Oryzias latipes: one gene and its partner. The protein of the gene in region 1 purifies or fractionates together with the protein of each later gene. This does not show direct contact. Links are inferred from orthologs where the notes say so. Each region holds a gene or a part of one and is shown on either strand. Other genes may lie near its edges. The genes, in order: rnf123 and ubac1.

What was found.
Region 2: the proteins of rnf123 (region 1) and ubac1 purify together in Homo sapiens (affinity purification with mass spectrometry; 7 studies listed by BioGRID and IntAct, counting the BioPlex papers as one, with this or other methods). This does not show direct contact. The link is inferred for Oryzias latipes from reciprocal best matches to the Homo sapiens genes RNF123 and UBAC1.

Annotation. Positions count from the first base shown.
Region 1 is NC_019863.2:20,427,731-20,432,137, reverse strand, and holds the start of rnf123 (E3 ubiquitin-protein ligase RNF123), read right to left. Parts: upstream 2,890-4,407; 5' UTR 2,696-2,889; intron 2,619-2,695; 5' UTR 2,503-2,618; intron 1,243-2,502; 5' UTR 1,213-1,242; coding exon 1,131-1,212; intron 984-1,130; coding exon 899-983; intron 1-898. Other genes in the region: aldh4a1 (delta-1-pyrroline-5-carboxylate dehydrogenase, mitochondrial), read right to left, coding at 4,030-4,142. UniProt on the Homo sapiens protein: Catalytic subunit of the KPC complex that acts as E3 ubiquitin-protein ligase. Promotes the ubiquitination and proteasome-mediated degradation of CDKN1B which is the cyclin-dependent kinase inhibitor at the G0-G1 transition of the cell cycle.
Region 2 is NC_019867.2:2,169,565-2,173,920, reverse strand, and holds the start of ubac1 (ubiquitin-associated domain-containing protein 1), read right to left. Parts: upstream 3,090-4,356; coding exon 2,952-3,089; intron 831-2,951; coding exon 710-830; intron 626-709; coding exon 552-625; intron 474-551; coding exon 366-473; intron 294-365; coding exon 191-293; intron 1-190.

The DNA of each region.
Region 1 (4,407 bases):
GACTCATCTGAAGCCTCATATTTTTTAAACATATTCATAAATGTAAATCCATGTTTTGCCGTTTGTAAAGCTGCAGTCAAATGTTATAAGTATTTAAAATAAATATTTAGGAGAGATCTATAAATATTTAATTATAAAAATAAAATTCACTTTAAAGTAAATATTTAGCTTGCTAACTAAATATTTAGTTAGTAAATGTAACATTTATCAATACGTGAATTAAATGGTGAAAATATGCATTTGAAAAATGAAACCCGTGTTGCTGTTTTTTCCTAAAATGCTGTTAATGTTTAACTCAGCAGCTTTACAAACAGCACCCCAAATAAATCCACCATTTGAAGAACTATTAGCAGCGTCCTCGACAGCGACAACTGTCACAATAATTCAATATTTGGAATAAAGACACCTGGTTTTGTTCAATGTTAACTTTCTTTTATTTTGAAATCAAAGACTCTTCTTCTGTTTCCTCGTTGGCTCTTTTCTGCAAAAAGAAACTTTTCGAATATATTTGTTTTTTGTTAACTTTGCTAGCTTGGGGGTTTTCACTTTAGCAGTCAGCGCAGACACTTTAAGAAAGCAGTGGATGCATTTTTAACACGTGACCGAGCGACTTGACATGCCTCGATAATGAGTTGGATGTGGTGAAGAGAATTCAGTAGATTTCCAAAATAAATCTTTGTTTAGAGACAGACCGGTAACTGGTACGCAGCCCGGGGGTTGGGGACCACTTTGACAGGGGATGCACTAAGTTTTGCTAAAAAATGAGATTCTGATATAAGGCGATACCAGTGTTTGAATTTTAAACTTTTAATTTCCTAAAAATGAAGATCTGGCAGAGACTTTCTCCTTAAGAGTAAAAGATACTCTAGAAATGCTGATGAAAAGCAGGTATGGGTACCTGAGCGTGGCTGGAGCAGCTCCAGGTTTGGCAGAAGGAAAGACGTGATGCAGATAATCGCTGAGCAGCTTCTCGTTCACGATACCTACAGGAAGGAAGGAAGACCTGAACACACAGTTGTACATCTGAGATTGTGCATGTATGAAGATGATGAGAGAGCAGGAATTTGAAAAATGATCTAATCCCTGTTGCCTTGATGCTACCACTCCCCGCCCACTTGCTGCTGGCGTACCGGTGGTTCTGGGTTTGTCCGTGTCCGAAGCCAGCCGGTAGTTCCGGCGCGTCAGAGCGGTTCCTCCCCCCCTCGTGGTCATTCTGTCAGTTGGGGTCCACTGACCTGTTCACTGGTGACAGAAAAGAACTGCTTGGACTTAAAAAATCTTTAGAAAGTAAAATACTCCTTCAAAAGGACAGGAAAGAAAGAAACTGCAAGAACAGGAACCTTTTTAAAGTTGAAAACACAGAGATACATTTGACAGCAACTGAGTTTTGATGCATTATAACATATTTAATAGTTTGAAGAGCTTTTAAAAAATCATTTTGCTGTCTTTCTTTAAGTCCTTTTGTGCATGACTTCCTCAGAGATGCTGACATCCATGTCCTGAGATGGATAAGTCCTTTATTATAACCTTATAGACCAACGCCATTCATCTTTTCATCACAGAGGTCTTTTAATTATTGTCCCCATATTGAACCAAAATTAAAAAAAACCTGTGTCAGCCAGATACCAGCTCAGACGAGGAAAATGAGGACATCTACAAGAACATGCATCAGAATGGAGCGGAGCAGGGAGCCTGTGGTCTGCCCATCATACTTCTTACGTCACAAATGTGATCTTTTTCAAAGGGCAATATTTCGTCCGCTCCTGATTCGCTCACACCGATTTGAATAAAGAAGTACTCAGAAATGCAATCTAAAACTTAATTTTCTTTACAAGTGTCCTCCATCGTGACAAAAACGCCACAAAAACAAGTTAGAAACATCAAAAACACAAATGTCATCGGAGTAGGTGTTTAACATTAACATCCACAATGTCAGAACCTTACTGTTAACATGCAGCAGTGACATGTTAACAAAATGTATTCTATTGATTTGGATTGATTTGAGTTTTGCTTTTAAAAGAATAAATCGATTTATGTAATCTATAGATGAATCCTCTTTACTTTTTTTTCTCTTTCAGTTAATCTGGTTTGTCATTTTTGGAAGAAGAACAAGCATGAAGCTTGTTTTCGTCCTGCAGCTTTGGGTGAGCATCTCTCACTGATGGAAGAGACATGGGATGTTTTAGGAGAAAAGATTGTAGAAAATGGATCTGAAAGCCTAGATTTGAATGTCAAGGCTTATGATTCATTGACGTGTGGGGAAAGTTACACCTATGACGTGTTTATCTCCCACATCTGATGGACCGTGAAGATGACAGGCAGCTAAAAACATTGGCAGATGTTCGGGTTGTTTTTTTGACATACAGGTGGTAAGCAGACTGTCAAACATGCTGCTGAGACTAAAATCAGAGTAATCGAGTAGTATATTTCTAAAATGTTGTCACGTGACGTAGCCATTGACAACAATGACCCGTCCCGGTTGCTAACACTGCAACTACTAGCCCTTGGCGGAGCACAGCCACCGGTCTTATGTCCACAGCTCACCACGGAGCTCAGATGGATGACATTCACGTCACGTCACAGCCCAGCCAAACCCGGCCCGGTCTGGTCAGGTTTAGCTGCGAACGAGCAGCCGGTTACAGCGGTGTAACTAAACAAGCAGGCTAACAGCTGCGGGTGACCGCTGCTAACTTACAGCGGCCCACAAACGGCGCGCCCCGCCGTCCGAACACAGAGCTGTGCTGCTGCCGCCGCTCACCGCCGCCCTGTCCGTGAATCAGGCAAATGAAGATGAGAGCAGCCGTGGTTCGGAGCAGAAGGTCCAATAACACTCCAAGCAGTCAACGCCTCACATCTACGGGGAGCTGCGAGGGTCAAACCCCCAACATTAAAATCTCGTCAGAGAAAACAACGCGAGAATAGAGAAAGTGTTATTAGAAACACACACAAAATTGGAAAACTGTTAAAGACGTTTCCAACCTATTTTAATCAAATTAAGTGTGTTTACGGTACACATTTGCTGACCCTTGGCTCATGAAAGTGCTAAACTACAGTTAAAAACAAATCAATAAACAAAAATACAGAAACTGTCACTAAAGTGGTCTACTTGATTAGGCAATAAAGCTGACCAGGTTATGGATTTTCAGTCAGCATTTTCTTCAAAAAGTTAAAAAAGTTGGTTTATTTTTATTTATTTTATGCCTATGGTAAATCAATTTCCCTTGTCGTAGGGTCAATAAAAGCTTCATCTATTTGTGGCCTCATGGTCTATTATTTTAGATCTTAGTGGTGCATTTAAGTCAATTGATCTTTTTATTACATAGACAAAAAACATTCATTGAAACAGAAATTATTTTTAATAAAGTATGAGCATCCAGGCATGTCTCTCAACCAAAACCTTCCTGAAAGGATCAAAGAAACTGAGAATAAAGCACAGCTTGTAAGAATAGTAATTTATTGCTAAAAATGATCTTAAAGGCTGATGTAGGCACACTCAGCTGCAGACATTCAAGTACAAGTGTTTTTGAGAACAGGCTGGTCTTAACACCAAATATCTGCAGGACAAACACAGACCCTCGTAACACCGGATCCAACATCAACTATAGTTTAATGAGCCCTCTTCTTTTTTCTCTCACAGCTCTGGTAATATATTGAAGATCTTCGATCTAAGGCTCTGTTTTCACACACTCAGTTAATGTCGGTTTTTATTTATTTGTTATTTCTACAATTCTATAAGTAGATCGACTTTGTTTTCACAGAGAACAAATCAAACAGAAGACGGGTGTTCTGGAAGTTTCAGCTGAATGAGCTCCAGTGGATTTCATCCAGAGATCAGGCTATCTGATCAGCTGAAGAAAAAGGAACATGGATGGCGCCTTCCAAGTCAGGACGGGGGGAGGATTTGAACTTGGAGTTTAACGACAAATAGGATGGAAGTTGAGCTCCAGGAGGACGGTAATGTCACAGTCAGTGCAGAGAGGGACCCACTGGGAAGGAGGAAGAGGATGGATGGATGGATTGACAGAGACCTCAGCCCATGTAGGGGTACTTCCAGTCTCTGAGGGGGACGTGCGTCTGCTTCACCACCTGAGGAGACGTCCACCTTAGGACGTAATGAGGACCTCCAGGTTTGTCGTTGGTGCCTAGAAGAAAAAATATCAATGAACCAGTTTGCTGCCATCAGCCTCAGATTGGATTAGCATTTTCAGGACAGTTCTGCACCAACCACAGTCTCCCTTTAAAGATCTGTCCAGTCAACTACATTAATCAGGAAATATTTATACACTCGTCTTTTTTTTTTCATATTCATGCTGGGACAATAACAGCTGATTTCCCAAATCACTTTCAAGCCCTTTCAAGCGGAATTCATGCTTTTTCACAATGCCACTGCAGTTTATAAAATTACAT
Region 2 (4,356 bases), on another chromosome or scaffold:
CTCAAAGTTCAAACCTTCGTAGAAAAATACGTCCAGGATTTTGGAATGAAGGCAAAGATCTGAACCCGATCAAAGATTTATGTACATTTGGGAAATGTTTTGTTCTCATTTAAAAAGACTTTTCTGTCTGAAGTCACATTCTCCAGCAGCAACATTAGTGTACAGGCGTGACAGGAAGCGTCCGCCTCACCGTTGGCTTTCTTGAAGAGCTCCACAGCGTCGGGATTCAAGGCTAGAAGCTTCTGAGCAACTTCGATGAGAGAAACCAGGATTTTCCTCAGCTCGGTTTGAAACTGGAACAAAGAGCGGAAGCGTAAGGCGGCGGGCGGCTGCAGACCCGGAGGCCGTGGAGTTTGAACGCTCACATCTCTGATGTTGTGCTGCGTGACGGTGCGGTCCGTGTGCCGTGTGGGTAAGCTGGCGGTCGCTTTCAGGATGGCGTCTTTGTCTGGAGCTTTGGTGTCCTGTTTCTTCTGAGAAGAGACGAACAAAAAAAACTGCTAATAAGGAGCTTAACATGCGGAGCCTTTTCATAAAAAGAAGGCGTTTACCTTTTCATCTGAACCAACCTCTGCCGTCTTCGGAGGCGTCGGCGGCGGCCTTTTCTTTATGAGCAGCAGGACCTCTGAAACCAAACGCACAAAGCAGATAAATGATGGGAAGTCAGCAGCAACGGGAGCGAGAAGGTTGCAAACGTGACGCCGCGTACCTTTGTCCTTGAGGTTTTCGTCAGCGACGGTTTTGGCGTCCGTTAGGACTCGCTCTGTAGCAGCGTGGATGAGCTTGTGGTGGGTGAGAGTTTTGGGGTCTTCTAGACTTCCATGAACGTACTGCAAAATCAAACAACGAAAAAACAAACAGAAGAAATCAAATGTGTGTATCTGTTGAGTACATGTATATTTGTGTATTTATCATTCTAACCTAAAGGGTCAATGGCGTCTTCTTATATAGCGCTTTATCATTACAATAAGACCCAACGCTCTTTAGTCACAGAACTACTGTTTATTATGTTTATTACCTTTTCATTCAATGGACAGTAATTATTCTGTTAATATTTTGATTTACAACAGACTTTTCCTAGATTACTGTATTCCACATATTGTGTGCACATTTGTGTGCATGTATGTCCGTATAGTTTTTGCATCTTGACATCTTTAGTCTCATTGTTCATGCGGACGGTGACAATAAAGGTTTTCTGATTCAGTGGCAGCAAGTTGTGGAGGAAGTCAACTCCAAGCTGACGTTGTCTTTTCAAATTAAAAGCATTCATATCAAAACGCTGCTCAAAATGTTGTTTAAACAAAAGGAAACCCAAGCAATTTTTATAAGGTGTATTTGAATATTACCTCATTGGTTTTTTGATTATTTTTTAATGATTTTGTTTTCTCTACACCATGTTTGTCATAGAAATAATAAATAAAAACTTTATTTTTTAAGGTGCTATACTGATCTTTAAAGAAATTAAAGTGTTTTTTTTACTATATTGCTTTTTAATTTATTCTCCAATTTTCTTATTATTTATGTTTCTGTCAGGGTAACTAGGATTGAAAGTTTCCATTTTACACAAACTAAATTGACGGTTTTTGTGGAGAAAGTAAAACGTACAACGAGGATCATCTTTCAAACTACATTTAACTGCAGCGTTTTAGCAACAACAACAAAACGTTTAATAGGGAATAAAATCAAAATAAGAGAAACTAGATTTTTTGGCCAAATCAAAACTTTCTCCAATAAATTTGTCAGATGAGTCGCACAACTAATAAGTAGCACATAAAGCACAAATAAACCACTAATAAAACCACATTCTCTATTAGAAATTTTAAGACTGACCCACAGAATAAAAAAAATTCTTTAAAATCTTCTATTTTGTCCAAATAGTAAATTAAAACAAATAACAATTCGTCAGATTTAATGTTGGAGCTTGAGAATAAGTTGTTTTTCCAACACTTCTATGATTCTATATCTTTATTTAGGTTACACCTTCTCTGACGTCCGTTCATAGCCATAAATCCAGGACTTCATTTACCATCACCTGGAAAGGACAAAACAATGACTATATGTTTTATAAATTCAGGTATGAAGGAGTTAACATTCAATATTTTCTATTATAGGATTTAACTCACCGATTGATTATTCTGTCAGTGTTTCTTTCTTGTATAAATGTTTGATTGATCAGGCTTGTGGTATTTTTACTAACCAACACTGTTTTATCTTCACTAAAACCCATCTTCACGCAGTGACAAAGTTTTTCTGGATGCTGAATTCTTCCAGCAGTGAAGCTGCCGTTACCGTGGTTACCGTGATCAAAGTTACCCATTTACCAGCTGCGGATGTCGGTCGTTTTTGTCTTTTTCCTGATATTTTCTAAATGTTGTTTTGCTCTCATTCATTTGATGCAACAACGAGATTTAGTTACTAACTTTAAAAAAAAAAAAAAAAAAAAAACCTTTCTTCACCTGGAAACAACTGTTTGATTTGACATAAATATAATCGAGTAAAAGTCCAAATTCTCCAGGAATAAAAAGTATAAATAAATAAAAACCAACGTTTTGTTCACCGAGTGGAGTGAATTTGAATTAAATAAAAGTTTCTTTCACGATAATTCAGTGGGTTGGATGGGAACCCAAGAGGAGTCAGTCAGCACAGAAGTAATAGGAATCTAAAGTATTAATAAAGGAGAAATAATAGACCCCCGTTGAGTTCCTGCCAGGGCCATATAAGGAGAGGAGAGGTGAGCGGGGTAATAATAGAGCAGGACAGAAAAGGACAGTTTAGCTGCAGAAGCTGCAGAGAAGCTGCCAGCCTCTTCAATTATAAATAGCAGAGTCTACCCAGTTACTATAAATACACAGCTGGAGACGGTTTACCCCGAGGGCAAAGAGCAAACACCCCGGCAGGGCAGTGACACGACAAAACAACAAAGTAGCCCAAACAACCTCCAACAAACCTACATGTTTCAAGCACTTCTCCTTCAGTTTCTCCACCGTGGTGTCCTCCGTGACTTCCTCCAGCCACTCCGCACCGTCCATGGTGCAGATGTGGATTTTCAACACTTTCCCCGCGAATATTTTCTCCTCCTGGACGAACATGGCTGCCGCGGTCTTCGGGGCCCGGCGACGCTGGCGAACGAACGGCGGTGGCTGTCTGCTCCCCTCGGCTCGTCCCAGCGAGCTAGCCTGCTAGCCTGCTAGCGCGAGCCCCCAGCTAGCCGCCGTGGGTAAATCCACCAACAACCGAACGGCACCGATCAGCTGGCGGTCATCTTCGGACTCTCGGACCGGCGACAACCGAGGGACGAGCTCCGAGGCCGCCAAGCTGTTTGTTTTTTGCCGCTAAGCACACAGGGCAACAACCAGCGAATATCCTATTTTTACTGTAACGTTTGAACTCTGACCCGCAACTGTACGAGTGCTGGTGCATTATGGGACTTTGAGTCATTATTTAATCTGGACTTGTTTAAGACTGTTATCGAATTTATTGGAAAGAAAGGTTAAACGGGAATCAATTAACATTAATTAACAGTAGTTCAACATTTTTAACTATTTCAACAGCACCTCAGCTGTTTTCAACATTATTTAAACACTAAATCAACCGCTTTTCAAAATTTCAAATAGTCCTTTTACATCATTTCACCTGTCTTCAGCATCCTGTAACTGTTTCTGAACAGTATGTTTGCTGTTAACACAACATTTCAGCTGTTTTTACACTACTTTAGCTGATTTTCCAGCACTATTTTCATTGTTTTATTGTCAAACAGGATTTCAATTGCTTTTCCAACTGTAGTTCAACTGTTTCCCCTGTACTTTAACTGTTTTTCAGAAATTTAAACTTTTTTTAAGAGCAATTCACCTGTTTCAACAATACTCTAACTGTTTATGATCAGTCATTAAACTATTTCAGTGGTGTTTCAATACTGAGTCCTTCATTCATCTGCATCTGAATTTTACTTTATTTTTACCAGAGTGAATAAAAGGTAAATTGTGGCTTTTAAATTCATGCCACTAGATGGAGACATGGAAAAAATATCTTCACAGAGGAAGATGAGGAGAAAGAAGATAATCTGTGAGTCTGTAGGTTTTGAATGACCTTTAGTTTCTTCGGTTACCTGCAGGTCCCGCCCACAAAATGGTGATTTAAAATATCAATTTGACTTTTAAAATAATTTAAAGATACCAATAGTCATATACATTTATCAATCACTAATTTTAACAGTAAATTTGATTTTTTGCACGTGACAACCATGAAATCTTTTAATGAAAACGGATTATTTGCTTTGTTCATTTGCAAATAAAAATTAAAAAAAATAAAAAAACGACAAGAGTACACAACGTCAACTAAACACTCATTTAAGTTTCT